3 linked regions of the Ovis aries genome follow. The protein of the gene in region 1 interacts with the protein of each later gene in a pairwise test. Links are inferred from orthologs where the notes say so. Each region holds a gene or a part of one and is shown on either strand. Other genes may lie near its edges.

Region 1 (10,616 bases):
TGGTTCGATGCTGGTTCGATCCCTGGGTTGGGAAGATCCCCTGGAGGAGGAAATGACAACCCACTCCAGTATTCTTGCCTGGGAAATCCCATGGTCAGAGGAACCTAGAATTCTTAAGCCAATAGTGTAAAGCCTGAAGCATCCTATCTGTGTGCTGTTTGAAATGGTTCTCTGTGCCACAATGTGAGAAGGGCTGAGAACTAATCTTTGGGCACTCCCTGACTGGTTCTGACCTCATCCTGCCTCCAGCACTGAACAGCTTTAGCTTTAGCACATTACAGACTATGCTATTTATCAGTCTTTTACTTCTGCTCAGAAGCATCCCACAGATCTGGAATGAGTTTCCCTTCATCTTAGTCTGAGAAGCTTCTAACCTTCAAGATCATTCAACTATCATTTTCCCAGAAAGTTTTCTTGGACTTTCAAGCCAGGTTGGATACCCTTCCTTCCGCTCTCAAAATATTTTGTTTCATAATAATCTCTTATATATCAGTCTACTGCCCTGGTGGCTCAGACGGTAGAGACTGCCTGCAAGGTGGGAGACCCAGGTTTGATCCCTGGATTGGGAAGATGCCCTGGAGAAGGAAATGGCAACCCACTCGTGTTCTTGCCTGGAGAATTCCATGGTCGGAGAAGCCTCGTGGGCTATGATCCATGGGGACACAGAGTCAGACACAACTGAGCGACTAACACTTTCACAACCCCCTGGTAATGATCAGACAGCAGAACTGCCCTGCTCATCTTTGTATCTTCAGTGGCCACCAGCAGAGTCCTTGTGTGTACGATATTACCTGAATGAGAACGATGCAAAAGAACAAGAGGGCCAGGCTTACCTTTTCTTGCCTGGAGTTTAAGAAAGTTCGTGGTTACATAAGCCATAAAGAGCTTTGGAGAAGAGGATGATATAACGGGATTAAATGTGGCAAAGGAAAGAATAGGCCATTGGATTTGATCTAGTTACTTAAAGTCTAAGCACAGATTTAAATATGATGGAAATCAGGTTTGGAAGGCCTGAGGAGAAAGGAAATAGGAATAAGATACAAACCCCTTACCCAAGATATTTGGCAGTATAAAGAACAAAAGAAAATGAAGGATTACTGAGTTCCTACAGTCCCATTGCAATTACTTTGCTACCATTTAAGATACATGGTTCCACAATAACATAGTATTGGACTTGAGAAATCCAGTTTCCCTCCATATTCCTTCCCTTCCCCCAGTGGGTATCAATTTCCATTAGTTTATGGTTTATCCTTCCTTTTTCTGGCCGTGTAGCATGAGGGATCTTAGCTCTCCGACCAGGGATTGGATCTGTGGCCCTTGCAGTAGAAGCAGATAACCTCTGGAGCTCCAGGGAAGCCCTATCCTTTCATTTTTAAAATAGAGACAAATGTACAACATACATTATGTGTCACCCTTTAGATAAGAAAGCACATTATGCCTTCTGTTCTACATGCTACTTTCTTCACTTAATATAGCCTCGTGATCTCTCCAATCAGTGTGTAGAGTCTCCCTCATTCCTTTTTACTGATGCTTAGTATCCTACTGTATAGATTTACCAGTTTATTCAACCAGTCCCCTACTGACTGATATGAGAGTTGTTTCCAATCTGTTATTGCAAATAGTGCTGCAATGAATAGCTTTGTGCATGTTACTTCCTATTTTTGCCATCTTATTTCTAGGAACTTTACTTCTATTCTAACTTAGTACTCACAACAACTATGCCGTAGATACTGGGTCTTCATCTTATGTATAACTTTGATGTAATGAATCAAGTGCTGCAGTACACAGCAGTCCAGCATTTGCAATAGCACATTATAGAGTAAGTCTTTAAAACTTGGAATAAACACCCTCACTCCTACCTTACCGTTCTTCTCCCAATATACGGACATCTCTTCTCAGAGAAAAAGAAGTTATTCTGTCAAGTTAAGCACCACAAACGATAAACAAGGAGTTTAGTTTAATTTTCTCTGGGTATTTGTAAAACACTTAGGGCCAACATAGGAAAAAATAAAATAAAATACAGCCTCCTGTGAAAAAATTACACTTACAAAAGAAAGGCCTGAGAGGGATTAGTGCCTTAGCCCCTCGGAGCTATAGCAACTCTGATTGGTCCAAGGAAGTGAATAGATATTGGGAGGCTACAACAGGAGGAAAAACAATGAGAAATCACTGAGGGAGAGGGCCTCGAAGTGGGCCTCGAGGGGGCACTGGAGGTCGGGGAGTAGGTCTGGGTGGAGGGAGGGGCCCCCGCTGGTAGCCGTAGGGTGGAGGTCGTGGAGGGCCAGTGTATCCATGAGGAGGCATCAGTGGAGGAGGTCCACGCATACCATGCGGAGGCATAGGACCTGGGTGACCTGCAGGTAAAAAAGGAAAACAAAGTAAAAACAAGGAATAGGAGACAGTTCATATTGGGACAATGTAAGGAGAGGATACACTGGGAGATAGTGAAAAGAAAGAGAAGAAAAGAAAGTGCAGGGGATAAGAGGTGTGACAAAACAAGCTGCAAGAACAATATGTGAGGATGAGGGAGGTGGCTAAAGACTACTCACCCATAGGAGAGCCAAACGGAGGCCCTCGGGGGGGCATGCCCATTGGAGGAGGTCCAGGATGAGGCATTCCAGGTGGTGGTCGGGGTGGTGGCTGCCCCCCAGAGCCAGGCGGCCCAGCGTGGGGGTGCCCTAAGCCATGAGGGCCATGGTGGGCCAGCTGCATCTGAGACATCCCTATGAGAACAAAACAAGACACAGTGAGAAATGAGACAAAAGGAAGTTAGAAGACAGGAGGGCAAAGAAGACAGAGAAGAAAATGAAGAAAGTGACATCAGATAGAATACAGAAATTAAAGCTGGTAAAAAGTGCCCTTATCTTTGACTCCATCCCAAGAGAATAAATCAACCAACTACCCTACAGCTCCCCAGTCCCTGAAGCCCATTTGCTCCTTCCATGATTTAGGCATTGTAACAGTGCTGCAGAATGGCGTGATTATTCTACTGAATAGAATCTGGGAAGATAACAGAGACACTGTCACAGCAAAGATCTAATTCTAAAGGATGAACAGGAATTTTTCAGGTGGACAACAGAGTGGGAAAAGAACATTCCAGGCAGAAAAAAATCAGCAGGTGCAAAGCATGGATGTGATCAACAGCACAGTATGTTAAAGGAAACCCAGTAGAACAGCTTGTAGTCATGGGAGTAACAGGCAGGAGCCAGATTATGCAAAGCCTAGAATGCTATGATAGCGAGTTTGGGTTTCACTCTGTAAGTAAAAAGGAACAACCAGAAGAATTTTGAGCAAAGGTGTGTGAATATCTGTATTTAAGAAAAATTACTCTGAGATAGTCAATCAAAGTAGAGATAATTAGAGTCAAAGTGTCAGTTAGGGTATTACTAAAATAAATTAGGTGTGAAATAATGAGGATAGGAGAGCCTGGGCTTCCCAGGTGGCGCTAGTGGTAAAGAACCAATGCAGAGAGCCTGTTGTTCTCTTTGGTAAAACTTAAACAAGAAATGAAGACAGCATGATGGTTGTTAAAATAAACGGTAAAGTATCTTGCATTTTTTTCCTAAAAGAATGTCTGAAAGAAAGGAGAGCTTGGGCACTATCTATTATTGTTAAAGGACAAAGAACAGCAGCATTAAGTGCTGACAGAGCTCCTCCATCAAGCTCATCCCTCTCCTTCCCAGCAAAGAACGCTCACCTGGATGGGGCATCCCACCAGGTGGGAATGGGTGAGGATGTGAGTGTCCGTGTCCAGGATGTCCAGCCCCTGGGGTTCCCGCTGATGGGGGACCATGTCCTCCAGCCCCAGGAGGCATAGGTGGTGGTGGCATGGCTGGGGGTATCCCAGGAGGAAGGGCTCCAGGAGGTGGTACTGGAGGTGGGAAGGAGCCAGGAGGAGGCATGCCTATAGAGAAAATGGAAAAACAGTTAATGATAGTGAGCAGAGAGTGCCTTTAGAGAGCCTGTTCCACCCTGGCCTCTCCAGGCCGAATGAGCTCTTTTCCCCTCCTCCCAGCTCTCTGAAGTCAGCGGCAACATTAAGTGACTTGAACAACAACCTTCTGGAGAAAACTCAACAACTTTCTTCCCACCACAATCATCATCCCTCAACCCCTTTCTCATCACCTAATGACTCAATGTCCTCTCCTTGCCAGGTTATTTTTCCTTCTTCCTGGCCCCACCCTTCCCAACCCAACACAAACATTTTTTATCAAAAGCTTTACCTGGTGGAGGAAGCCCAGATCCCAATGATGATACCACAGGATTGGGAGCAGATGGTGGAGGGGGTGCATCTGCAAATAGCTGATGAGGGCGGTCAGCCTGGGAGAGTGGGTTCTGTGCTGCCAGAAGTCTTTCAGCGGCTGAGCCATGGCGCTCACCCTTGGAGTCCTTCTTGAATGCGTAGGACACAGTGATTGGGCGGTTACAGAGGTACTGCCCATTCATGGCCTCAATCGCTGCATCCGAAGCATCAAATGAAGCAAAATTAATAAAGGCATAACCTTTGGAGTTGCCTGTGTCAGGGTCCCGCATAATCTTGGGGGTTTGTAAGATGACCCCAAAGGCGCTAAAAGTATCATAAAGCAACTTCTCATCAATCTCCGGGTCCAGGTTCCCAATAAAAATGTTGGCCCCCACATCCAGGTTTTTGTTGTGAGCTGATGCCTTGTTCACCCGTATTGGCTTCCCATAGAGTTTGATCATGTTCATGATCTTAATGGCATAGTCAGCATCTTCCTCACTCAAGAATTCCACAAAGCCATAGCCTGGGGAAGTGGAAAAGAAGAGGTTAGCAACTGAAGTGATTTAAAAACGAGTTTATAACTCATTTGTCTTCTAAAGCACAAAGGATAAGAAATAATAATCCCAACTTCAATTGAGAATGGTTCCAGAAACAAAATCTTTAGTTTGCTCACTCCAAAACTTAATATCACTGGAGACCTCCAGGAGCAGTCTGTCCCTTTCATAGATAACTGTACTTTTTGCCGTGTACTCACCTTGGTGCTGACCAGTGACTCTATCCTTTGGCATGTGCGTGTTCACTACTGGTCCTGCCTGGAGAAATAGTTCCCACAGCAGTGGTTCGCTAACCTTCTCATCGAGGCCCCCCACGTACACAGTGGCATCTGGAAGACAGGATTAAGAGGTAAGGACAGAGATGAGGGGAAATAGGGAGGTAACGGGAACATGAAGATGGAACCCAGGCGGAGGAAGTGGACGTGGAGATGGGGTAGAAAAGCGAAAAAACAAAAAGATGTTAGATTAAGCTTTTAGAAGCTCCTCCTTTCCAGAAAATAGACAATCTTATGTCTAATTTAGAGTGACGGTGCAAGTTCACTCTGTAACTTTTCTTTTTCTTTTTTTTTTTTTTGAGTGGGAAGGCAGCAGAGGACTGGACACAGCATCACAACTATAGGCCTCAAGTCTGTCCATCCCGTCCCCATAAGGCATCGGGACCAGTCTGGCGCCCTTCGGAAAGGCAAAATCTCCCGCCCCAGCGGAAACATTGCTGGGCCTAGTCGAGGTCCCTCAAACCCCCAGAGTCCATTCTGGGTCTGTCCCCTCCAGTCACCCTGGTTTCGCTCGGAGATCGGCCCGGCAGCCATGGCGAAAGCGCTCCCGCCGTCTCCAGGCAGCGATCCCGCCCCCTGACCTCAGTCACTACTTCCGCTTCCGAGGCGAAGGCTGACGTGAGGTGGTGGGCGGGGCCGCGGCAGGGGAGGAGCCGGAAGCGGCCTCGGCCATCTTAGGAGACGCTGAGACTGGAAGCGGCTGAAGTAGCGGTGCGCTTCGGTCCACGCTCCCGTGCAGAAGTGCTACTATGAGCGGACGCGGCGGGGAAAGTGAAAAGGAAACGTTCTGTCTCTTTTAAGGCAGTGCTAGAAGTTAAAGGGTCACACTGCTCCCGAAACTGTCACTTCAGAAGCTGGGAGAACAAAACTTTAGTTTTCATGTGTTTTGTAGCCTTTTTTTCCCCCTTAGAAGGGTGTACAGAGGAACCGCTCAACGCAAGGCGTGGGGAGAACCGTCCATCCCAACCCGCAGTCCTTGAACAGACGCGGCCTCACAGCCCAGGCCTGAGCTTGAGGTATTTCCTTTTTCCTCAGGGAAGGAATTGTGGAATGTCTGAGCTCGCCTAGTCACTGCATAGGAGGGGAACCTGAGGTTCGGAGGTGGGGTGGTACCGAAGTTTACGGGGGTTTGATACTGAAGCCCAGAGGCCGAGGCCGAGGCCGAGGCCGAGGCCTTCAGAGCACACCCTGAACTCCAGCAACCTCTGGGCGTGCCTTTGCCCTGTCTACACGGAAGAGAGGACCTTAAATTGTGAATCCTGCAGCGCCTCACGCAGCCCAGCCCCTTACTTCCTTAGCAGTAATATGGTCGGTACCGTCCCTTCGTGGGTCACATTCCTTTCCCTCCTCTCCCACCACTCCCTTACCTAAGGTTCCTTTAATCAGACACAAACAATGCCAGCGGCGTGTATAAATATTGTGCTTTAATGAACTCCTTAAATAGAAATGTCACAATGAAAATATATAATTGGAAGAGATAGGGTGTCCTGTGTATATTCCATACCCATAGAAAACTATAAGGGAAGAAATAGAAATTGGAATTAAGCAGCAAGAGGAGGTGAGAAGGAGGTCTGTAGGCCATCTTGTTGGCACTGATAAACAGTATATCTGATTATCACAATTTACCAGCGCAATATCCAAAATTTCCATCCCAAAGACATGGAATTGCCCTGAAAAAGAGAGGCAGTCTTCTGGATTGTTGTTGTTTCTTAATTCTTCAAATGATAAGAACTGTTTAAACCAAACAAGGCAGGATAAGAGTTGGATAAGGTTAGCACCACTCATCCTCAATAGAAACTCAGGTCAGTGATCTTGTTTATGAAAGCTGAGGCAGCAAGACCAGATAAGAAAAACCGAAGGATTAGACAAAACTCTCCCTCACCCCAGACCACCCTCTGCCCTGCCCATGAGAAAGCCAGCAATTTCAACGGGATTGGGAGAGAATGGTATTTGGGTTTCTTTTCTTGGAGTGATCCTCGGGAGATATTCGTGGTGTCCATTTCCTTAATAACTCTTGAAGATGGGATAGCTCCTCCTGGAGACCAGAGATTGTGGGAGCTGAGAGGCCCATCTGGGAAGAGGGTGAAGAGAGGCAGAGAGGATCCTTAATTCTCTTAGTTCCCTTTCCTCCTCCAGCTATCCCCTAGGTTCCACTTGATATAAGCCAGAAGCAGTTTTCCCACACTCCCAAATCTATCCGCTTTGATACCAATAGGAATGGTATCTAACTTCCCAGTCCCCCAAACCCTTGCCCTTCTGCTCCTGGAAACATCTGGTTTCTCCTAGAACATCTGGTTCAAAAGTCAGACCCCTTCTCCCACTCCCAATTTTTGCCTTCCCTTCTCACCTGGACCTCAGGCCTTCCCCTCAGGTAGCAGCGTCTCCAGAGCCTGATCTGGGGTCCCAGACATCCAGGCAGCAGCAGTCCCGGGGGTAAAGGGCAAGCTCCCCAGTGTGAGGGGAGCCCCCACTCCTGATCAGCCAGGCTTTCAGAAGAGATAGCAGGTCGAGGGAGCCAACGAGAGGAGACTGCCAGCAGGGAGGGACTGTCCCGCCAAGGACAGAGTTGATTCAGGGGTGTCAGGGCCCCTCTAGAGAAGAGCCACACGGAACTGGGGGGCCCAGGAACCATGAAGCTTGGCTAAGGAGGAACAGGAAATCAACTGGCAACTTAGAAACCTGATGACCCCCAGTTTCCCCAAACTGGGTCATGAAGGAATGTCCAGCTGTCACCCACTGCACACTGTACCAGTTATCAAACTACAAGCCTTCCCCTGAGAACACTTTATCTGCTCTCCTTATTAGACTTCAAACTAGGCCTCAGGACTGATTAAAGTTGATTTTAAGGAAACATAAAAATGTGTGCATGAGACAAGAAGACTAATAAGGATGAGGAGGACCAAAAAAGATGCCATTTGTGATTTGTAGGATTTCTGTCTTCCTGGGGACAGTTAGGACTATAAATGACACCAGAGGGGGAATGAGGAACTCAGACACTATCACCTCTCCTCATCTAGTAGGATGAGCCTGTGAAAAAAATCAAAGGAATTTAGGAACTTCAGACACTTTACCTGCTGTCTAGGGAGCCAGGAATCTGGGCAGTGTTCTGGGTTATAGCCAGGATTACAGAATTGTAGTATTTGTTTATTGCTGTAGCGTAAATTCCAGTCCCAGACAGATAGTTGTGGGTTAATAGAGTTCCCAGCCCCTGGGAACCCAGGGGTATAGACTTGTGTATAGTTGTTGAACTAGACAGAGGAAACAAGAAGAGGAAGGTTAAACAAAAATATATAATCCTCCCCAGTTTAGAGATAAATCGTGAAACTCATCTTATTCTAAGAATCAGATGTAAGGCTTCCCTGGTGGCTCAGTGGTAAAGAATCCACCTGCCAGTGCAAGAGGCACAGGTTCAATCCCTGGTCCAGGAAGATCTTATCTACCTTGAAGCAACTAAGCCTGAGCACCATGACTGTTGAGCCTGTGATCTAGAGCTTGGGAGTCACAACTACTGTGAGCCCACATGCCACAACTACTGAAGCCTGCACACCCTAGAGCCCATTCACAACAAAAGAAGCCACCACAATGAGAACTCCATGCACCACAACTGGAGAATTTGCTGCAACTAATGTGAGAGTTGGACTGTGAAGAAAGCTGAGCACCGAAGAATTGATGCTTTTGAACTGTGGTGTTGGAGAAGACTCTTGAGAGTCCCTTGGACTGCAAGGAGATCCAACCAGTCCATTCTGAAGGAGATCAGCCCCGGGATTTCTTTGGAGGGAATGATGCTGAAGCTGAAACTCCAGTACTTTGGCCACCTCATGCGAAGAGTTGACTCATTGGAAAAGACTCTGATGCTGGGAGGGATTGGGGGCAGGAGGAGAAGGGGACGACAGAGGATGACATGGCTGGATGGCATCACTGACTCGATGGGCGTGAGTCTGAGTGAACTGCGGGAGTTGGTGATGGACAGGAAGGCCTGGCGTGCTGCGATTCATGGGGTCGCAAAGAGTCGGACATTATTGAGCGACTGAACTGAACTGAAAGAAGAGCCCACTCAGCAATGAGGACCCAGCACAGCCACACACAAAGAAAAGAATCAGATGTAGGGTGAAAGTCCAGTCCTGAAAGAAAGCGCCAACCTCCTCCCCCTTTCCCACCCGCAGACCACTTTTCATATTCAAGGGTAAACTTCAGAGAGTAGTTCTTTTGTTGACTAAACTGCTTGTGGGATCCTAGTTCCCCCGACCAGTAATTGAACCTGGGCCATGGCAGTGAATGCCCAGAATCCTCACCACTAGCCCACCAGGAAACTCCCAGAGAGTACTTAATGGGTAGGGGAAAGCCAAAAATGGAAGTCACTGACCTGTCCACTCTGCTTTCCACGCTCCCAGGGGGTGTCTCTCAAGAATGTAAGGGTGTCAGGAACTCTGACACTGTCATGAAGAGCAAGAAGGAAGAACTCAGAAAATTCAAACTCAGCTGGAAACTGCTGGAGGAGCTGCCAGACGCAGTCAAGGAAGAGGAGAAACACTGGGGCCTGAGAAGAGGGAAATTAAGAGGTTGGAAGGGTGTGTGGGGACTTAAATGGAGAGGATGAATGACGTGGGAATGGGGACACTAAGGAGGTCAGGGGGTGGAAATCAGTTGAGGTAGGGGGTTGGGGTCCCTCATCTGGATCTCCTTTCAAGCTCAGCCCAACCTCAGACCTAATTTGGACCTAATTCACCTCCAGTGGATTTTAGTATGTCATTTTCTCATCCCTCTACTTCTTAATAACATCCTCCCCAAACATTCTCACCTCTTCACTGGCCCCAGATCCCCCAAGTCGGGTCAGGAAAGGATGTCCAGCTGCCACCCACTCTCGTTGCACTAATGATTGGAAGCCAAGCAGTGTTCGGGCTTCAGGGGCTGAAAGCAGCTGGACGAGTGAAGAGAGGAGGCCATTGAAATCACGATCACCGCGCTCTGGGTGATAAAGAGAGATAAGGGACAAAGAAAGAAAGACCAAGAAACTAGGGCAGAAGAGAGTGAGAAAAGGAAACATGGCAGGAGGAAGTAAGAGGCACAGAGGGGGAAAGTTTTGGGTAGGTAGGATTGAGAGGGCACATAAAAGTGAAGAAAAAACAAAGACCTTGAGTGATTCACTTCATACACTCCACCAAGAAATACCCAGCTTCACATGTAGGAAGCAGAATCAAATGCCAAACCAGTTTTCCTCATTTTCCTTCCCCAGCCCCCAATCCAAGCCCCCATCCACTGATGGAAGGACAGGAACAAGGCTGAGAAGCCCTCTGTTAGGGACCACAAGCTTAATGGGGAGGCAGAAGTAGCCCTGAAACACGAGTAGTTCCTAGCAAAACGAGAGAGGATGCCAGCACTGGAAGGGGACAAGCAAACTCTAGACCTCCCTGAGCAGAATCCAGTCAGGTGAGTAAAGAAAAAAGGCAAGGAATGGAGTGGGTTGGCCCAAGAAACTCACCTTGAAGTACTACAGAGCGAACCCTGGATGTCACTAAGACTGAGATGTCACTGGCCTTTCGAAGA
Region 2 (10,032 bases), on another chromosome or scaffold:
TGGGGAAAGTGGCACAGCTCTCCTGAGATCCTGGAGATGCAGTCCTTGCTGGGCTGCACCGTGGCTGGGTTGTGGGTGTTGGGATGCACAGCGGGGTGTGGGTTGAGAGGCTGGACAGTAGAGGCAGTCAGACCAACCCTCTGCACGTTCCTGGCCCTCACCCTGGTCCTCTCTCTGCAGTGGAGCCGACTTGCTCGCTGTCAACTCCGATGGGAACATGCCCTATGACCTCTGTGAGGATGAGCCCACCCTGGATGTCATCGAGACGTGCATGGCGTACCAGGGTAAGGGCAGGGCCGCCGGCTGTGCAGTGGGCTGGGTGTGGGGCTGTGGCGAGCATCTCTCAGATCAGTGCAGATGAACAAGTTACCTAGAGGCAGGCCTATCGCTTAGTGCTCAGGACCTGGGACGGGACCCCACGAAGGTTGTTACCCACGTGATGGACAAGATGCGAACACAGAACAAGCCTGGAAAATGAGCTGTGCACAAGGAGGGGCGTGGCTGTCTTCTGTGTCACCCACACGCATGGGCAGCCTCAGCTGGCCCCGTCTCTTCAGCAGCTGTGACAGTTCAATTCAAAACATCCACAATAAATATATATTCCCATTTGGGAAAATACAAAGTCAAGAACATTCACGGCTGCCTGCTCTGTGCCAGGCACCACTTGGGCTGCCAGGGACCCCGGATAAACAAGATGTGGGCTGTTCTCAGCTCACAAATGAGCTTCAGAGAGGAAACAAATGCAGCCCGCCCCCGCCACCCCAGTACATGCTCCTGAAAGGCCTCCTCTTTAGAAATATATCTCAAATCCAGACCCTGGACTGCAGTCTGAGGTCCTCCCCTCATCTCTGCCCTTGTGTTTCTGCCCAGATGGCTGCAGGAACCTCCCTTTTGGCCTGCCCATTCCCTGGCCCTGGAGCTTTCTCTGTCCACTTTCTGTAGACCTTCCTAATAATTTTTGTGCCAGTCTGGTGAATCTGTGGACCCACCCCTTCTGTATTTTTAAATGCATTTATCAAAGCCATAGGATTATAAAGGAAACCACTGCTATTGAAGTAGGGCTCCTCAAATACTTTTAAATGTATAGTATAGAAACTTCATTGATTCCTGAAACAATAAAATAACATGGTGTGAAAATACCTATAGTTTCTGTTGGTGACAAAGTCATGGGCACTGCCAATTCTACTATGAATTTAGACTAAAAGGAAATGCTATATCTCATTGAAAAGTTAGTGAAAGTAAGACTTCTCTGGTGGTCCAGTGTATAAGAATCTAAGAATGCACTGGCAGGCAGGGGACGTGGATTTGATCCCTGGTCCAGGAGGATTCCACATGCCTCTGAACAACTAAGCCCGTGTGCACCAGAGCCCCTGCTCCCCAACACAAGAAGTCATCACATTGAGAAGTTTAGACACCAAAACTAGAGGGTAGATCCCACTCGCCACAACTAGAGAAAGCCCACACCCAGCAACAAAGACACAGCACAGCCAAAAAGAAACAAACAAATAAAAAATTAGTGAAAATAGATCATTCTTTTTCTCCCTTCAAGTTTACAGACCTCCCCTGAGTTCTATCCAAGAATGCTTGCTCTCATTGACCTTTTTTTCAGAGCAAATCACTCTCTCCTTAGTAGCTGCCAGTAACACTTAAATTTTAGCTAGAGATTCAGGCTTGAAAATGTGTTTCTGAGTCCCTCCACCTCGATTTATTCAGCTCTCCATTCAGAAGTGATATATTCAGTAATTCAGTTGTGGCTGTAATAGCGATTCACTGAGCGTGCCTGGTGCTGCAAACACAGCTGTGGATGAAGTGGAAGAAATGAACAGAGACCTGGTCAGATACAGTGGGCAGGGGAGGCCAGCTGAGGAGGTGATCCAGGCTGGACCTAAAGGATGAGACGGAGCCAGGAATTTGAGCAGCTGGAGGTGGGTAGGTGGGTGGTCGGGACTGCCAGGTAGAAGAGCTGTGTAACAGTCATTGATATTAATACAGCGCCAACTGGGTTCCAGGCTCTTGTTCGTGGCCCAATATGTGGTGTTCATTTTCACTGGGCCTGGGAGAAATGATCTCTGAGCGCATCTGTTTACTGCCTTGACTGGCAGACCCTAGGAAAGAGGAGTCATACCTCCCTACCTCTGCCCTCCCTCCCCTCCCCCATGGGTTCTCTGCCTGGGAGTGCTGACTCAGTGCCACCCCCCCCCCGCCCCCACTGCAGGCATCACCCAGGAGAAAATCAACGAGATGCGGGCAGCTCCTGAGCAGCAGATGATTTCGGACATTCACTGTATGATCGCAGCTGGCCAGGACCTTGACTGGGTAGATGCCCAGGGGGCCACACTGGTGAGGAGAGGGGCCAGGCTATATTGGACTGGGGGGTTAGGACCAGAACTCAGACCAGCTGGAGCTGAATGGGGAGGTCCAGTCTACACAGAGGGGGCCTGTCTGTAGCCTTGGACTTCCTCCCCCTTTTGGGGACAGGGTTCTCTCTGGAATGTGGAGTTAGCAGAGCAGGGATCAGCTTCTTTGAGAAGCTGGGGCTGGGAGTTGGGAGCTGTGGGTTGGGGAGGCTTGGCTCTGCCATTCACCTCTTTGTCTCCAAGCTTCTCCTTTACCTCACGTTGCAGGTGTCCATTCTGAGTTCATTATTTCCACCTCCTCCCATGATGTCTCCTGCTTCAAGATGAGTGCCACATTCATCCACTCATCCAGGCCATCTTGCTTTGCACTATTCATTCTCCTACCTCAATGTACCCTCTCCCACCTCAGTGCCTTGTTTCATTGTCTGTCCCTGATGTTGCTGCAACAGCCTCTCTTCTGGTTCCCTGACGTCAGAGCCCAGACACCCCAGGGACCCATCCTGTGGTTCACACATCCATCCATTGGTCCTCCCATCCATCCATTGGTCCACCCATCCATCCATCAGTTTACCCATCCATCCATCGGTTCACCCATCCATCCGTTCACCCATCCATCCATCGGTCCACCCATCCATCCATTGGTTCACCCATCCATCCATTGGTTCACCCATCCATCCATTGGTCCACCTATCCATTCTTTGGTTCACCCATCCATCCATTGTTTCAACCATCCATCCATCGTTTCACCCATCCATCCATCGGTTCACCCATCCATCCATCGGTCCACCCATCCATCCATCGGTTCACCCATCCATCCATCGGTCCACCCATCCATCCAGCGGTCCACCCATCCATCCATCGGTTCACCCATCCATCCATTGGTTCACCCATCCATTCTTTGGTTCACCCATCCATCCATTGGTTCGCCCATCCATCCATTGGTCCGCCCATCCATTCATTGGTCCACCCATCCATCCATTGGTTCACCCATCCACCCTGTCAACATACACATCCTCTGTCCCACATACTTTACTAGACATTAGAGATAGAGAATGATGGAATCTTCTCTCTCTCTATCTGCCTCATTAGCTTCACTCACTGTTTCAATTCAAATGTCAGTGAAACCTTCTTGATCTTTCTTCATAGGCCTTCATAGCATGATACAGCTCAGTATTGGGGAAGTCTGCTTCTGCAGCCTCTAAACTGAGAACTAGAACATGGCCTTGGAAGCCCCCCTCAACCTTGCCCATGGCTGGGCCCATCCTGTTCTAGGCTTGGGGTCCATGTGATTGTGAGCACTCAGGGTCTCAGAATCTTCAGCTTTTCAGGTAGGGCTCAGCAGTACCAAGTTCCCTCACTGCCCCTCAGGCCTGACCTGGTAGCCCAGATGTGATCATTGGACTTCTCCCATCCCGTTCCTGAGTCCCACCCTCTGTCTCATCCCCCTTTCTTTTTTTTTAAAATAAGACTTCTAAAATTGATTATTGGTTTATTTCAGTGACATATAGTTGCTTTATAATATACTAGTTTCAGGTATATGACACAGTGATTCAATATTTTTTATAGATTATACTCCATTAAAAATTATTACAAGATAATGGCTATATTTTCTTGTGCTGTACAACATACTTTGCTTATTTGTTTTAGTAGTTTGTGCCTCTCAGTCCTCTACCCCCATCTTTCCCCTCCCCCTTCCCTCTCTCTGTTAGTGAGTCTGTTTCTGTTTTGTTACATACATTCGTTTGTTTTTTAAATTCACATGTAAGTGATAACACAGAGCATTTGTCTTTGTCTTCTTTCATGAAACATAAGGCCCTCTTGGTCCACATGTGTTGCTGCAAATGCCATTATGTCATCCTTTTATATGGCTGAGTAGTATTCCATTGCCTGTATATACCATACCTTCTTTATCCATTCATCTGTTGACAGACACTCAGGTTGCTTCCATATCTTGACAATTGTAAATGATGCTGCTATGAACACTGGGGTGCCTGTATCTTTTTGAATTAGTGTTTTCATTTTCTTTGGATATATATCCAGCAGTGGAAGTAGTTCTCTTTTTTAGGTTTTTGTGCCTCCTGCTCTTTTCTAAGGAAGGGGTCCCTGCTCAGCCCAGCACTCAAGAGTTGAGTCAGGTAGTTGGATTGAACGCTGCATGAAGACTGGACGAAGTTTTGGCCAGGCTGTGCCAGGACACTGCCCGCCCTGGATGGGGCTCCGTTGGGTCTGTGGCTCAGCCCTGTAGACACAGGGGTCTGCTCCTCTTGGGCTGGCCTCAGAGCGGCTTCACTCACATGGCTGGGCACACACTAGGTCTCAGTTCTTCCCAGTGAAGCAGGGAGGCGTACCTTCCCCAGGGGGCTGTTGGGAGGACTAAATGAGATTCTGCATGTAGCTGCTCAGCACAGAGCCTGTAAACTCTCAATAGATTCTGGTGATTAACTCATTATTATTATTAACATGATCACTTCTATTTATATAATAAATAGCAAGGTCCTACTGTGTAGCACAGAGAACTATATTCAATGTAATTATAGTTGTAATCCTCTGTAATGGGAAAGGAAATCTGGGAAAAAATATATGCAGGTGAATAACTGAATTGCTTTGCTATATACCTGAAACATTGTAAATCAACTATACTTTAGTAAAACAAAAAATCAAAAAACCCACCAATATCACTCTCCCAGTCATAACTTTTTATTCCCAGCTATGTATGTGGCCCTACAGTTTTTAATGTCTGGCTGGCTGTGTGTCATTCTTAATAGCTGGCAAGCATCAAACATTTATAAATCAGATAGTGATACCAGTTTTCATGTGTGCCTGTTCCAGATCATACCCTGTTTTTTTTTTTTCTTTCTGAAAATTAAAAAAAAGAAAAAAACCCAAAACCTCTGTTTGCCAGAAACTTATAGCAACCTGACCCCCGGATGACGCGGCATCTGGCCATTAGGGCTGTGTTCTGTTGGACCTCTGAGACCCCATCTACAGGGCTCAGTGCATAGTAAGCACTCAGTAAATGCTGATGCCTTAACGACAGGGGCTTGAAGACGGAAGAGAAGCCCCTTCTCCCTTACCTTCCTTTTCCATACTGCAGACTTACTAATGCTCTGTCACGTGGCTGGTATCTTCACCTCCTTCTATTCCATTCTACGGCCCTAAATATGATCTGGGCCTTGAGCCGGGGAATGGGCTCTCCTGCTTCCAAATGAGGGACCAGCCCCCGTGGGGAGTGCTGACCCCTTTCCTCTCCTTCAGCTGCACATAGCTGGAGCCAACGGATACCTGCGGGCAGCCGAGCTCCTCCTGGACCATGGTGTACGCGTGGATGTGAAGGACTGGGATGGCTGGGAGCCCCTGCATGCGGCTGCCTTCTGGGGACAGGTAGTTGTCACCCACAGTGCTGTAAGAGAGGCCAGCTTATGGCCAACCTGCTGACCTTTGGGCTGGGAGTTGGTTCAGAACACCCGACCCATTTAGGGTGTTGACTACAGCTAGCGTGTAGGATGTGAAAAGACCTACGGAGTTTACAAAAAGGATTGTCAAGTTGTGTCCTAACAAGATGACAATCCAATTTGCCAAATTAGAAAATTTCCCACATTTCTGTCTTGAGTTTTTCCACTTGTTTCCCAGATAGAAATCTCTGTAGCTTTCGCCATTCCTCTTTAAACACTTGACAGCTCTGGAGTTATAGCTGACTCCTTCTGTCCCTCGGTATGGCTGAGTCATGCTGGAGGAGGTGTCAAGCCTATTGCATTTGCCGGAGTTCCCGGCTTTAGGGAGCAGAGCCTTCCCTGGGAGTCAGCTTTGCCCTACCATTCTTTGGATCACATCCTAAGAAGCTTTGAACTCTCACTCTCTCCGACTCCTAGGCTTTCTCAGCTGTGGGCAGGGGGGAACCCGGGCTTCTTCCTGTGTTTCAGATGCAGATGGCAGAGCTGTTGGTGTCCCATGGGGCCAGTCTCAGTGCTAGGACATCCATGGATGAGATGCCAATTGGTAAGTTCAGAAGGACCACGCCTGCACTCATTGATTTTTTTGATGAGTGGAGGATAAATGGTTGAATATATGGTTGGATAGATGGTAGATGGATAGTTTGATGAATAAATTAATGGGTGGTAGATTAATGGATGGATAACTGGGTAAATGTATGGATGAATGAATTAAGAGGATGGGTGGGCAGAGGATGAATCTATGGATGACTGGTTCAGCGAATAGGTAGACAGATGAACTAAAGGATGAGAGGGACTGAGTGGGTGGGGATATATGATTTCAGGCTCTTTTCATAATGTCTTGCTTGGGCTCTGTGGGGTACCTTCTGGTTTCTCTTGATATATTTTCTATCAGTGGAGAATTGATGACTCCTCTTGGAAGCGATCAAAGGTGTATGAATCCTTCAGTCATATCTGTGAATTGGGACTGTGCATGGGACCTGGGGTTTCCTCTTCTTACACTCCTCTAAGGATTGGGTTGTAGCCCAGGAAATAAGGCTGGCACTGCTTTCTTCCCTCCAACCACACCCCAGAAGATGTGAATTTTCAGTGGGTCTGGGGGGCCCTCGGGGATCACCAGCCCCTTCTCTGCCCCCTACCATGGACTCCTCCACCCTTTCAGACCTGTGTGAAGAGGAGGAGTTCAAAGTCCTGCTGTTGGAGCTGAAACACAAGCATGATGTGATCATGAAGTCGCAGCTGAGGCATAAATCATCTTTGAGCAGGAGGACGTCCAGCGCGGGCAGCCGAGGGTGAGCTGGGGGCGGGACAGCCAGGGGCGCCCAAGGATGCTCCTGCCCATGGAGCCTGGAAGCAGCCTCCCAGTACCCCCCTCTCCCCTTAGGAAGGTGGTACGTCGAGCCAGCCTGTCCGACAGGACCAACCTGTACAGGAAGGAGTATGAGGGAGAGGCTATACTCTGGCAGCAGCGGAGTGCATCCGAGGATCAGCGGAACTCCACCTACAACGGGGACATCAGGGAGACCAGGACAGACCAAGAGAATAAGGACCCGGTGAGAGCTTGCCTCCCACCCAGCCCCAGTGAGCACTGCCGTGGGAGGGGAACGGCTGGAACCCCAGCCTGGCGTTGCTTCTTTATTTCAGAGCCTTCGGAGGGAGGTCAGCTGGCCATCGCCCTTAAACCAGCTGGGTCCTGTCTGAGGGGGTGCCTACCATGGTTATTGAGGCAAGTGTAGGACGTGTTCACGTCAGAGCTGGGTGATTGGCACACAGTAGGGGCTCATAACTGCCAGGGAGTGAGTGATCACCATGTGCCTGCTTGAGCTCCAGCAGAAGAGAGATTTTATTCTGGCTTCCCAGAGGAAAAGGTTCAGTAGGGCGGCCACTCTGGGAGAGAAGGGTGTTAAAACTTTTTTAGGGGAAACCTAACAAGATGTTGAGAATTGTGTTGAGATATCGGGTTGGAAGAAAATTTTTGAAAAATATAGGGGCTGGCTATAGAACGTCTAAGAAGCTGGCTCTAGGAGTAGATAATGATCTGGGCATTAAACCGCTTTCCTAAGATGCTGTATTGTTTTCTGAGAACTGTTGTAATGAATTACCGCAAACTAGGTGGCTTGAAGCGAGAGAAATGTCTTTTCTCCCAGTTCTGGAAACCAGAAGTCTAAAACTCAAGTTGTCTACAGGCTTGGTTCCTTCTGGATATCGGAAGGGGCCTCTGTTCCATGCCTGTCTCCTAGCTTCTGACATCTTGGGCATTCCTTGGCTTTTTGCTATCGTGCCTCCAATCTCTGCCTCTGTCTCCATGTGGCCTTCATTGTGTACGGGTCTGTCTCTATTTTCTCTTAGAAAGACACCAGTCATTGGATTAGGGCCCACCCTCGTCCAGTGTGACCTCATCTTAATGTAACTGATTACACGTGTGAAGACTCTACTTCCAAATAGGGTCACACTCAGAGATGTGGGGTGGATGTGAGTTTCGGGGGGACACTATTTGACTCAGTACAGATGCATTCAGGCCCGTGCCTGGCTGCAGTCTTGCTGAGTAGAATATGCAAGTTTGGGGCCAGAGCAGAACTACTGGGCACAAGAAGGAAGGGGCTGACCATACCAGCAGTGGTGTACCTTTGTGGTTCTACCATCACACAAAGAGCAGCTGAAAACATTTCTAGTTCCTGTTGCTTGGGGGGATGCAAAATGTCTCAGTGGGACCCTGCTTCCCTGTGTGAACAAGGAGGTCATGTGAGGGCTTGTCTTGCCGGCAGGAGTGAAGGCATCTGCTCTAAAGAATCTCCATTGTGAGAGGAGTTTGGAGGAGAATAGATCCATGTATATGTCTAGCTGAGTTCCTTTGCCGCCCACCTGAAACTGTCACAATATTGTTAATCAACTATACTCCAATATAAAATAAAAAGAGTAAAAACAAAAAGAGGGACTTACCTGGTGGTCCAAGGGCTAAGACTCCTTGCTCCCAGTGCAAGGGACCTGGGTTTGATCCCTGATCAGGGGATAAACCACAGCTAAAGACCCAGCGCAGCCAAATAAATGTTAAAAAGAAAAAAGATTCGATGCCAAGTGGTTTTTTTTAAAAGAGAGAATCCCCACTGAAACGCCGATTGGGATGGAGCCCGCACACTCGGAGCTTTTGTTCTGCCCCTGCCCACCTAAGCTTGGGGGTTAGGAAAGAAGAGCTGTAGATTGGAATCAAATCCCATTTCAGATGCTTCCCCGATATGCTTTAATTCTCTTTTCTTTGTGATTGAGGTGTAGCTTCTATAACCTACAGAAATCTTAAACGAATTTGTCAATGACCTCTTTCCAATGAGTACACGCATTTCTGTCACCCCAGAAAGCTCCTACGTTCCCTTTTCCAGGCAGCCCTTCTACCCCACAGATATGAGTGTGTGCTTAGTCACTTCAGTCGTGTTCAACTCTTTGGGACCCCATGGACTGTACAGCTCTCCAGGCTCCTCTGTCCGTGGGGATTCTTCAGGCAAGAATACTGGAGTGGGTTGCCATGCCCTCCTCTAGGGGATCTTCCCAACACAAGGTTTGAACCCAGATCTCCCGCATTGCAGGCAGATTCTTTACTGTCTGAGTCACCAGGGAAGCCCAGCTCAACCTGGTGCTCTGTGATAATCTAGAGGGGTAGGATGGGGGGTAGGGTGGGAGGGAATTTCAAGGGGGTGGGGCTATATGCATACCTATGGCTGATTCATGTTGATGTCTGGCAGAAACCAACCCAACATAGTAAAGCAATTATCCTCCAATTAAAAGAGAAATGCAGGTTCTCAGGCCCCACACGAGATAGACTGAATCATAAACCCTGGGGCTGGGACTCAGCACTCTGTGTTTTAACCAGCCCTCCAGAGGATTCAGATGCATGCAAGAATTTGAGAACCACTGATCTAAGGGTGTGTTTGCTCAGCCTGACTCCCAAGTCAGATTTCTGACAGAACTCTGCACTGATAGCCCCCAGGGCTGGCTGTGGTACCCACTTTTGGCAGAGCTGACTCCCTGATAGCAGGCACAGCCGTGATAAGACAACCCTGTCTCTTCAACCAGTGGTTCATGATCTAAATTGTACAAGAAAATCACCTTGGGGAGGTGTTTTGTTTTTGTTTTTAAAAAACTTGATGTCCGGACTATAATCTCAGTTAATTAAATCAGTCTCCAGGCTTCGGACTCAGGCATTGTATTTGTTCATTTATTTATTTATTAACAAA
Region 3 (10,031 bases), on another chromosome or scaffold:
CGGGCGTTTCACTCGGGTTTAAATTTTCGTTCAAGGAGAAGTGTTAGTTTTCTAGTCCATAGACGTGAGATGACCTCAAGCAGTGTTTTCTAAACAAAGCCTGCCACACACCCCCGCCGCCACCCACCAGAGTATCAGGGCGCCTGCCTTCTTTTAGACACGACAATCATGAAGAGATGCATGGGGTTTTTATGAAACGGCATAAATGAGCTGTTTGTTCACAAGGAACCGGAAGTGCAGGCCGAAGATCTATAGGAAAGCAGCCTCTGGGCCCCTCCCAGCCTCCCTTTTTTCCTGCTTGGCCCCTGACGCCCCCGACCCGGCCTACAGCGACCAGGCTTCCCTCCGCTGCCCCAAGACCCAGGCCAGGTATTGGCTGTGCTCTCACAGCCCCAGGGCAGGCGGAACTGCTCCTCTGCCTCCTCCCCTTCTTCCTTCCTTTTTCTTCCCTTTCCATTTTCAACTGAGGCACAAAATATATTCGGCGAGATGCATAAAATGTATTGGCAGGCCCGCCCTCGGACCTTCTGGATCCAGGGGCTTCCCCCAGGAGTGGCCAGGCCTCACTCAGCCAGGCCTCTCTAAGGCTTCCAGGCCCCGGAGGCTCTGAGGTGGAGGCACGGCTAACAGCAGGGTGGTGGGGGGTGGCTGCCCTCAGGGGTTCAGCCTGGGTGGACTGAGGCAGGAGATGGGCAGCGTGGGGGCTCCAGAGACGACGAGACTGTGAGAAACCGCTCTCATACATGGGTGTACACTCATTTATCTCCACCACCCAGAGAGAGAGAACTTCTCCATCTCCTCAGAGGGTCCCTTCCCAGACGACTACCATTTCCTCCAGGTGTGTCCACCTTCCTGACTCCGGTTACCACTGGTTAACTGAGTCCTTCAGATTTGATTCCTTTGATCCCTGGGCGTCTTGAGTTGAAGCATCCTGTGCCCGTTTAAGAAGGGAATGTCTTTCAGCCCCCTGGGCAAACCCCTCGCCATGGGCACTCGTAACAGCTCACTACAGACCTGTGAAGTGGGTGTTGCTAACTCCATGTTCTAGCAAAGGGGATTAAGGCTCCGAGAGGTGAAGAGACTTACCCCCAATGAAAGAATGGTTACTAACAGAGGTAAGAAAGAACGGGAGCCCTCTTTAGGAAACCCCACCCTACTAGAGAAGCCCAGGTGGGCCCCTGTGCTCTCCAGGCGGTCGTCCTGTTTGTTCCACGCGGCCCTGGCCGGCAGGGATTGAGCCTTGCTGGTTGTGAACCATCGTACCCAGTAGCTTGGGAGCAGGCTGTTCACCAGGGGCCAGCCAGCGGACGAGGGCTGCTAACCTGCCCATCTCTGCTCTAGTGCGTGGCCAGGAGGAGGCCAGCAGGGACACCGCCCCCCGCACTTGTCCAGGCTCCGCTCCAGGCTGGAGGGATGGTGCCCCAGGGCGAGGACGAGGTGCCTAGCCGGCCTGTGATGAGTCAGCACCCAGCAGCACGGGCCTCCTTCAGCGCTGCTGCTGCCTTCCTTCTGGTGCCCGTCTCGTGGCAGGAATGCGCTTCTGAATGTGACGCCTGGACCCACTCCCTGCTCTTGGATGACCCGAGAGTTAAGCAGGCTAAAATAATGCCGCCACCCTGAGCACGTGGGTATTCTAATCTGAGAGTACCGCCTGTCTGCCGATGTCCCCAAGGACACGGCAACACTCGGGCCTCTCCGAAGTGCTGGGAGGCCCACTGGGGTGGCGAGCTCAGCAGGAGGCCAGAGAGAGGTTCACAGGTCTGAAAGATCTAAGGTCCAGGGCTTGCCCTCCTTGTGACCAGCTTCGCCCCAGCGGGAATAGAGCCTCAAGCCTTCTGGTGTTTGCCATTCAGGGGGATGCCTCGTAAGGAGGCATAATAGCTTGTCCACTTGGATCCATAGAAGTGGCACGAATCCTCAGCCCCCTCCTCTGTGAAAGGACCCTCTAGTGCTCAGGAGATGGTCAGGACAGAAAGCCGCAGGGGTCCCTGGCTTCAGTTGCCCAGCCTTTGCTTGGTGAGGAGTGACATTGCCTGGTGAGTGACTGGCCAGCCTTGTTGTCTGAAACAGGATCTTTCTCTGTGGTACATCTGGAACTTGGCCTTCTCAAGGGTCCCAAAATAGCCAGGCCACTGAAGAGAGAACTTCATGAGAGGACGTAGGAGGGACCCCAGCCGCTCCTCGCCAAGCAGGCTTTGTTGGCATCACAAGACCAGCACAACTAATCCCCGGGTTTTGTTCTCATCCTGTGCTTCTTCTGCATTCCTCGGGTATCTCCCTTTCTTGCCGCTTGTTCTGAAAATATTCCTGAGGAGGCTGCCTGCCCGCCGCTGCCCCTTCTCTGCAGATTTCTGAGCTGTAGCCTGTGTCGAGGGTCCCCCGCGAGTCTGCGTTGTCAGGAAATGTGAGGACCGTTTAGGAAGCCGAGATGCCGGCTGTAATCCCCTTAGCGAGTTGGCATTGAATCCTCCTAGCATCTTCTGATCTGGGTCTCTGAAGGTTTGGGAGGCTGTCGGGGACTCCGCTGTATGCAAGGCTGCCTTGTCATCCAGAACAAAAACCTGTTACCAGCTGGGGAAACTGGGACTTCTCCTCTGCGCCACAGATAACCTTGCTCGTCTCTTTCTTTTTCTTGATGCTTCTCATTCTTAAACTGCTGGGCCAGCAGCAGCTTCAGCAAGGGAGGAGGGGTCTGGAAGAAGTAGGGGATCGGGGGAGGTACCCACAGTTTCTGTGCTCAGCTGTCCTTGCTCCTGGCTGGCACCGTGGGGCCCAGAGTCACTCTGAAAGATCAGAGCATGTGGCATTATGCTTTCTCCTCCTCAGGGCTGTTTCCTTCTCAGTTTCTAACAGGTCTGTGTCTCCTCTCACTTTTAGGAAACCGCATCCTCTGCAAATGGGCCTTCGCGGGAGGGCCCCAGGCTGCTGCCCACTAGAGAAGGTCATGCCGTGTACCCTCAGCTCCGGCCAGGCTACATTCCCATCCCCGTCCTCCATGAAGGCGCCCCGAGCCGGCCGCACCCTGTCTTTGCCTACTCCCAGCCCGGGACACAGCGCTTCCAAACCGAGGCTGCTGCAGCAGCTCCCCCGAGATCCCAGTCACCCCTGCGGGGTGTGGCGGAAGCGAGCCAGCCGGATAAACCGAGTGCACCAGTGGCAGCTGCTGCAACGGCCCAGCCTCCAGCTTCCCATGGACCCGAGGTAAGGAGAGGCCTGGCTCACAGGCCGATATGACCGTGACCTGTGTGGGCAGGGGGAGGGATGGCGGGGAGCTGGGTTTCATGCTTCCTGGGCTGCCCCAGACCACAGATGACACCAGACCCTCATGACAGCTCCGTGAAATGTGGGGTATCGGGGCCTGGCCGGCATCACACAGCAAAGATAGCTTGCTGACAGCCCCATGTCCCCCCAGCATTTCACAGGCTGGTTTTTCTGATGAGCAGAGATTGTGGTTTGTTTCTGAAGCTCAGGAACTGGGGCTCAAGAAGGGGTAAACAGCTTGGTCCAAAAGCATAAAGTCGGAAGTGGCATTGCAGGGCCTGAAAGCCTGGCCTTTTGGCTCCCCCTATGACACCCCTCATTCCCCCTGAGCTTTCTGTGTCGGAAACACAGAGAGACTCTGTGGCATTTCACTCAGTTCAGTGTTCACGGGTGAGTGTTAACTGCTCGGAGCTATGCTGACGTGAAAATGAGACCACATGCCTGCCCTCACAGTGTCCACCGTGTAAAACAAAGCATAAAATAATATTTTCAGGCTTTAAGTCTGAGGTCAGCATTTCCTTGCACTAACATTTAAAGCATAGTCCTTAACCTGGTTCTTAGCTGAGACTTGAAGGCCAGTCGACCCCAGGAGGTACACTGAGCCATAGGCCCTCTGGGTTTTCCTGTCAGCACACCATCCCGCTGTGTCCCCCGCACTGCTCTTGAGCAGAAATGCTCACTCCAGGTGAAAAACATAGTTAATGGAGGCGTCAGGTGGTGCAGTGGTAAAGAACCCGCCTGCCAGTGCAGGAGAGGCAAGAGACGTGAGTCGGATCCCTGGTTTGGGAAGTTCCTCTGGAGAAGGAAATGGCAATCCACTCCAGTATTCTTGCCTGGAAAATTATATCCACAGAGGAGCCTGGTAGGCTGCAGTCCGTGGGGTTGCAAAGAGTCGGACGTGACTGAGCACACACTCACACAGGAGGCACTTTCCCTTTCTTGGAGAGGCAGTACCTGCATTTGTAATGTTTTTGTTGTAAAAATCAAAAGTGATGCGTCAGAGAAATCTTCACAAATTTAACCTAGCAGGGGCCTTAGAAGCCAGCTGGGGAAACACTCTTCTGCTCTTCCAAAATAGAAAGTAGGCGGTCAGGAAGGGAGAGAGGCCTGGCCTGCCTCGGTCCACATGGGGACGTGGTTCCTTCCTGCTGCCCCCTGGGTTCTTTGAGGATAAGCAGGAAAAGAGTTCAGGAAAGCGGAAATGAAGTGACAACAATAACTAAAACTTAGTGAGCACTTCCTGTGGGTGGTGCTGGTGCCAGACACACCCACTAATTCTTTTATAGAACCTTCAAGTTAGTCAGGTGAGGAGGGGTTACTCTTTTCTATACTTCAAAAGCAGCTCATTAACAGTAAAGAATCTGCCTGCAATGCAGGAGACCAAGATTCAACCCCTGGGTCCAGAAGATCCCCTGGATGAGGGCATGGCAACCCACTCCAATATTCTTGCCTGGAAAATCCCATGGACAGAGAAGCCTTGTGGGCTTCAGTCCATGAGGTCGCAAAGAGTCGGATGCAACTTAGCGACTAAAACAGCAAAGCTATCGGGCTGTTGAGAATTTGAGCCCAGGCCTCTTGACTGCTGAATTCCCCATCTTACCAGTACATGTAGACACTGGAAAGGCTTAACAGGTGGGAGGTTGTGTTAAACCTGCCACCCTGAGCAGGCATGTACAGGGGGCAGAGTCAGCAAGCCAGGCCAGGGGGATTCACAGGGCCATGTGGCTGTGTGTTCTGTGTCTTGCAGCGGTCCCAGTCTCCAGCGGCCTCGGACTGCTCCTCGTCCTCCTCCTCAGCCAGCTTGCCCACCTCCTCCGGCAGGAGCAGCCTGGGTGGTCATCAGCTCCCCCGGGGCTACATTTCCATCCCTGTGATACATGAGCAGAACGTCACCCGGCCGGCAGCCCAGCCATCCTTCCACCAAGCCCAGAAGACGCACTACCCAGCTCAGCAGGGCGAGTACCAGACGCACCAGCCCGTGTACCACAAGATCCAGGGGGATGACTGGGAGCCCCGGACCACGTGGACTGCATCCCCCTTCCGGCCTCCCGTCCGGGGTGCGTCCAGCCGGGAGGGCTCTCCAGCCAGAAGCAGCACACCGGTGCCACCCCCGCCATCTGTCCGTGTGCAGACCACGGTCGACAGGCCTCAGGTATGGGAGTTGATGTCGCAGATGGGCTGGGGTGGCATCTCTCCAGGGCCGGAGGAGCTCTGTGCAGGTGTCCTGGGTCCCCTGCCCTCATCAGCCCTTCCTGGGGAGACCGAGATCCTGGAACAATGCTGGTCACCAGCAGAAATGCGGGTGAGGGCTGTGAACCTCTGGTGCCTTCTACAGCTTTTGCTCGTTCTTTGTTGCAGCTGCCTCAGGGGCAGAGTTCCAACCACCGTGATGGGGAAAGGTGGGCAGAGCACAACGTCACATATCTGGGGCCCAGGTGTCCTCTGCCCATCATGCCCTGCCACACCCCACTCCCACTCCAGCTGCAGCCTCCATCTCCTGCCTCACGGATACCCCTTCTGCACCCTGCTGGCCCTTTCATCTGTTGTCTCTTCTCTTGTTTCTTTCCTCACACTGAACCCACTTCCTGAGATGCCTCCACAATCTAAACTTTTCCCATCCTTCAGGGGACAAGCCGGTCTTGCGGCTTCCATGCAGCCTCCTCATCTTTTCCCAGGGTGCCTAGTCTCTTACAGCTCAGCATCTGATTATTCTATGCATTTCGGAAGTGTTCATCTGCTCTCTTCAGCTCTGCTCTGACCTTGACCACAGGCAGCATGTCTTACCCTTTGCAGTAAAGGACCGTGTTGCCCGGCTGATGCCCGGCTGGCTGGGTGGCTGGGAAACCTTCCCGCCTATCTGGTGAAAGTCACAGGCAGTGCCCGTTTAACCTTCGGTAGAGGCATGCACTAGCTTTCCAGGTGGCACTAGTGGTCAAGAACCCAGCTGCCAATGCAAGCGATACAAGAGATGCAGGTTTGATCCCTGGGTGAGGAAGATTCCCTGGAGGAGGGCATGGCAACCCACTCCAGTATTCTTCCCAGAGAATCTCATGGACAGAGGAGCCTGGTGGGCACAGTACATAGAGTTACAAAGAGTCGGTCATGACTGAAGCGACTTAGCACAGCACACAGCACAGAAGTGTGCAGGCACTGATCCCTGGGGGAAGCAGTCTTCTAGTTTTAGAGCCGCAGAATACCCAGCAGTCAGGGCCCCTCAGCTGCTGAGTGAATTCTTGACCACTGTTCTTAAAAGGAAAGCCCCCGTTAAACAAATGGAGGGCATCTTCTTCCTACGAATGGGGACACTGTCCAGGGCCCTCTAACAGAGTGCTTTCCTGTTGCTGGCTTTTGTTTTTGTTTTGTTTTTGTCTTTTCTATTTGGAAATGATTCCAACCTTACAGGATGGAAGTCCAGTATACATAAAGGTCATGAAAGCAAAGATTCAGCCATATTCACTGTTTACATTTTACTCCATTTGCCTTGTCATTTTTCCTCCCTCCACATATTATGTATATTTTTGTTTGAGATTTAGTTATAAATAACATGCCCCTGTACCCCTAAATATGACAGCAGATGTTTTCCTAAGAGAGCTACCTTCTCATTCATAACCACATTAGAAATATCAGATGTAGGATGGTTAACATCCTTACGACATTATTGTCTCATACACGGTTCATTTCCACATCTCCTTTAGAGCAGTTTCCCCTTTGTTCTAGGATGTAGTCTAGGATCATGAGCACTGCATGCAGGTGTCGTTTGCCTTTAGTCTCCTTTAATCTGGATCAGTTTCTCAGTCTTTTTCTGCTATCATGACCTTGAAAAGTTTTGGAAAAGTACAAGCCAGCGGGCTCACCCCCTCTTAAGTGTTTCTAAAATCACTTACTCAGCTATTGCTTTAAAGTCCAAGGAGAGGCGTGTGGCTAGTTCATGAATGCTAAGGGCCAAAGTTGAGGACTTCTGGTTGGCAGAAGAGATTTGATGGAAAAGGAGGCTAGTGGTGTTCAAATAGCCAAGCGTCCATCAGATCCTTACTTAAACTCAGTAATCCTTTCAAATGGGAAAGAAGTGCTCATTTGCAAAGCTGGCAGTGTTTCCTCTCATATCTTTCCTATATATTTTGTGTAACTGGTGAAACAATATGTAATCCTATTTCCGCTTAATCTTACTTGTTTGTAGTGGCCTACCTTTCACAGCTTGTTCAGAGATCCCATGTTGGAGGCTTGCAAAGATTTGACCTAATGAATATTATAGTGGGATTTAGTGTTTTTAATATGGAGTACTTTACAAGTGTTATCGTCTAACTCCTGTTTCCCAGTTGATGAAATCAGAGTGTGTGAGATTTTTTTAAGAGGGTTTTAGATATTCACTTGAATGTTGCAGGCATAGTTCATTTTTTAGAATACGCCTGTAGCTTATAGTCACGTTAAAGAGTATCTCACGTTAGAGTATCTCAGTCACGTTCAAGAGTATCTCAGCCTCTGTAGCCGTGTCGTCAGTGTGGAGGTGCTGCACTGTGCCAGTATCAGCTCTGGCACAAATGTGTCCAAGCAGAAGTCTTATAGGGTTACCCGTTTGGGGCATCTTGCTTATTCTCAAAAAAACACATCAGTCTGGGCAGAAACCACAAGGCTGTCATAGGTTTAAAAAAAAAAAGACGATTATAACTTTGCTGAAACAGGAGCTGGGAAGGTCACACCCTGAGCAGAGACTGTCACACAGAAGGGGTCAAGTGGCAATGATTACTCCACGGCTCCATCCCCTGATAGTCAGTCACCCAGGACTTTGCTTTGAGCTAAAGTGACTCGGGAGTCAGCATGAGTCTGGGGTATTTTCCTTTTTGAAAAATCATGTTGGTTTTCTTTTCATTGCCATAAGAATTCCATCTCCAGAAAAAGTCAGTAAGAGATAGCAGACTGAGAGCCCGGGGTAACAAACGGAAGCATGACAGTGGTTTGGGTGCATATAAGGCATGTGTGCTGGTCACGCTAAGTCTCTCGGTCATGTCTGATTCCTGGGGACCCCATGGACTGTAGCCCGCCAGGCTCCTCCGTCCATGGGATTCTCCAGGCAGGAATACTAGAGTGGGTTGCCATGCCCTCCTCCAGGGGATCTTCCTGACCCAGGGATCGAACTCACGTCTTTATCTCTTGTGCATTGGCAGATGGGTTCTTTACCACTAGCCCCACCTGGGAAGCCCCATAATACATGATGAATACCATATTTTATTGTTATAACTGGTTTCAGTTGACTTTGAAAATCTCTTTTATACTGTTAAACTTTTTAAAAGTCGTTCCCATTTCCTTCTAGTCAGTTCTAGCTACAAATGACCACCTGTGACTCAGCCGTTAAAATTGTCTGTGTCCTTGCCTCTTCCCCACAGCCCATGACCCATCGAGAACCTTCGCCTATTCCCCAACCTGAAAACAAGCCAGAAAGCAGGCCGGGCCCAATTGGACCAGATCTCCCTCCCGGACACATCCCGATCCAAGTGATCCGAAAGGAGGTGGATGCTCAACCTGTTTCGCAGAAGCCCCCACCTCCCTCTGAGAAGGTGGAAATAAAGGTTCCTTCCGCTCCTGTGCCTTGTCCTCCTAGCCCCGCCCCTCCTACCATCCCCTCTGCGGTCCCCTCTCCCCCTAAGAATGTGGCTGCAGAAGAGAGAGCAGCCCCCAGTCCTGCCCCTGCGGAAGCTGCACCCCCTAAACCAGGAGAGGCTGAAGTGCCCCCAAAGCATCCAGGTGTGCTGAAAGTGGAAGCCATCCTGGAGAAAGTGCAAGGGCTGGAGCAGGCTGTGGATAACTTTGAAGGCAAGAAGACGGACAAAAAGTACCTGATGATAGAAGAGTATCTGACCAAAGAGCTGCTGGCCCTGGATTCGGTAGACCCAGAAGGACGAGCTGATGTCCGCCAGGCCAGGAGAGATGGGGTCAGGAAGGTTCAGACCATCTTGGAAAAACTTGAACAGAAAGCAATAGATGTCCCGGGTCAAGTCCAGGTTTATGAACTCCAGCCCAGCTCCCTTGAGACCGATCAGCCACTACAGGAGATCATGGAGATGGCTGCAGACAAGAGCAAGAAGAGTGCTGGAGACGGAGAAGACTCCAAAACCGAGACCCAGCCGCCGGAAGCCAAAGCAGCAGCAGCTCCAGACCCCAGCGGCACAACAGACACAGCTGCTAACCCGGCAGCACCGTAGTCTCCGTGAAGTGAAGGGTCAGCCCTGGAGACTGGGAACTGATTGTGTGCTTTAGGGAATTAGAAGTTGCATGCATTTCAGGGACTTAAAATCAGTTGGTTTTTACTCTTCATAGCCGCTGGGTATGCAGTAACTTGGGTGGAGGCAAAACACACTAATAAAAGGGCTAAAAAGGAAAAAGATGCTTTTCTTGTGTTCGTATTCCGTACAAATAAAGAAGTTGCTTGTTACAAGTTTAATAACCCTATAGCTTGTTGTTTTGAAGCCTTCTCTGTATGGGCCCCACGTGTTAGCCATGGATGTGAACTGTCTGTCTAGCTCTGGATCGAGGGAGTCTTTTTCGGCTGGGGGAGTAGATGGGGAGTCAGTTTCTCATCACTAAATATGAAGCCCGTTTTTCAGAAATGTTGCCATTTTAATGGGATGATTTTTGTCATCTCATAGCTATGATACTTTCGATAGAATAAAATGTGTAAGGAGCCATAGAAATATCTGTATGTGGGATGACTTTAATGCTATGTGTAAAAAAAAGGAAAATAAAGTAATAATGTAACTCAAAATGTCTTCTGTGGT

Evidence for each region. The genes of interacting proteins can lie anywhere in the genome.
Region 2: the proteins of SF3B4 (region 1) and PPP1R16B interact in binary tests that used the Homo sapiens proteins (3 or more experiments, as listed by UniProt). The two-hybrid records come from large-scale screens. The link is inferred for Ovis aries from reciprocal best matches to the Homo sapiens genes SF3B4 and PPP1R16B.
Region 3: the proteins of SF3B4 (region 1) and BAG3 interact in binary tests that used the Homo sapiens proteins (3 or more experiments, as listed by UniProt). The two-hybrid records come from large-scale screens. The link is inferred for Ovis aries from reciprocal best matches to the Homo sapiens genes SF3B4 and BAG3.

Annotation. Positions count from the first base shown.
Region 1 is NC_056054.1:100,030,446-100,041,061, forward strand, and holds SF3B4 (splicing factor 3B subunit 4), read right to left. Parts: upstream 5,644-10,616; 5' UTR 5,607-5,643; coding exon 5,573-5,606; intron 5,127-5,572; coding exon 4,998-5,126; intron 4,767-4,997; coding exon 4,224-4,766; intron 3,905-4,223; coding exon 3,698-3,904; intron 2,724-3,697; coding exon 2,550-2,723; intron 2,355-2,549; coding exon 2,167-2,354; 3' UTR 1,941-2,166; downstream 1-1,940. UniProt on the Homo sapiens protein: Component of the 17S U2 SnRNP complex of the spliceosome, a large ribonucleoprotein complex that removes introns from transcribed pre-mRNAs.
Region 2 is NC_056066.1:67,707,428-67,717,459, forward strand, and holds part of PPP1R16B (protein phosphatase 1 regulatory inhibitor subunit 16B), read left to right. Parts: intron 1-180; coding exon 181-284; intron 285-2,215; coding exon 2,216-2,340; intron 2,341-5,612; coding exon 5,613-5,738; intron 5,739-6,277; coding exon 6,278-6,353; intron 6,354-6,968; coding exon 6,969-7,098; intron 7,099-7,190; coding exon 7,191-7,359; intron 7,360-10,032. UniProt on the Homo sapiens protein: Regulator of protein phosphatase 1 (PP1) that acts as a positive regulator of pulmonary endothelial cell (EC) barrier function. Involved in the regulation of the PI3K/AKT signaling pathway, angiogenesis and endothelial cell proliferation.
Region 3 is NC_056075.1:39,302,533-39,312,563, forward strand, and holds the end of BAG3 (BAG family molecular chaperone regulator 3), read left to right. Parts: intron 1-2,877; coding exon 2,878-3,201; intron 3,202-5,008; coding exon 5,009-5,413; intron 5,414-8,642; coding exon 8,643-9,458; 3' UTR 9,459-10,018; downstream 10,019-10,031. UniProt on the Homo sapiens protein: Co-chaperone and adapter protein that connects different classes of molecular chaperones including heat shock proteins 70 (HSP70s), e.g. HSPA1A/HSP70 or HSPA8/HSC70, and small heat shock proteins (sHSPs), e.g. HSPB8.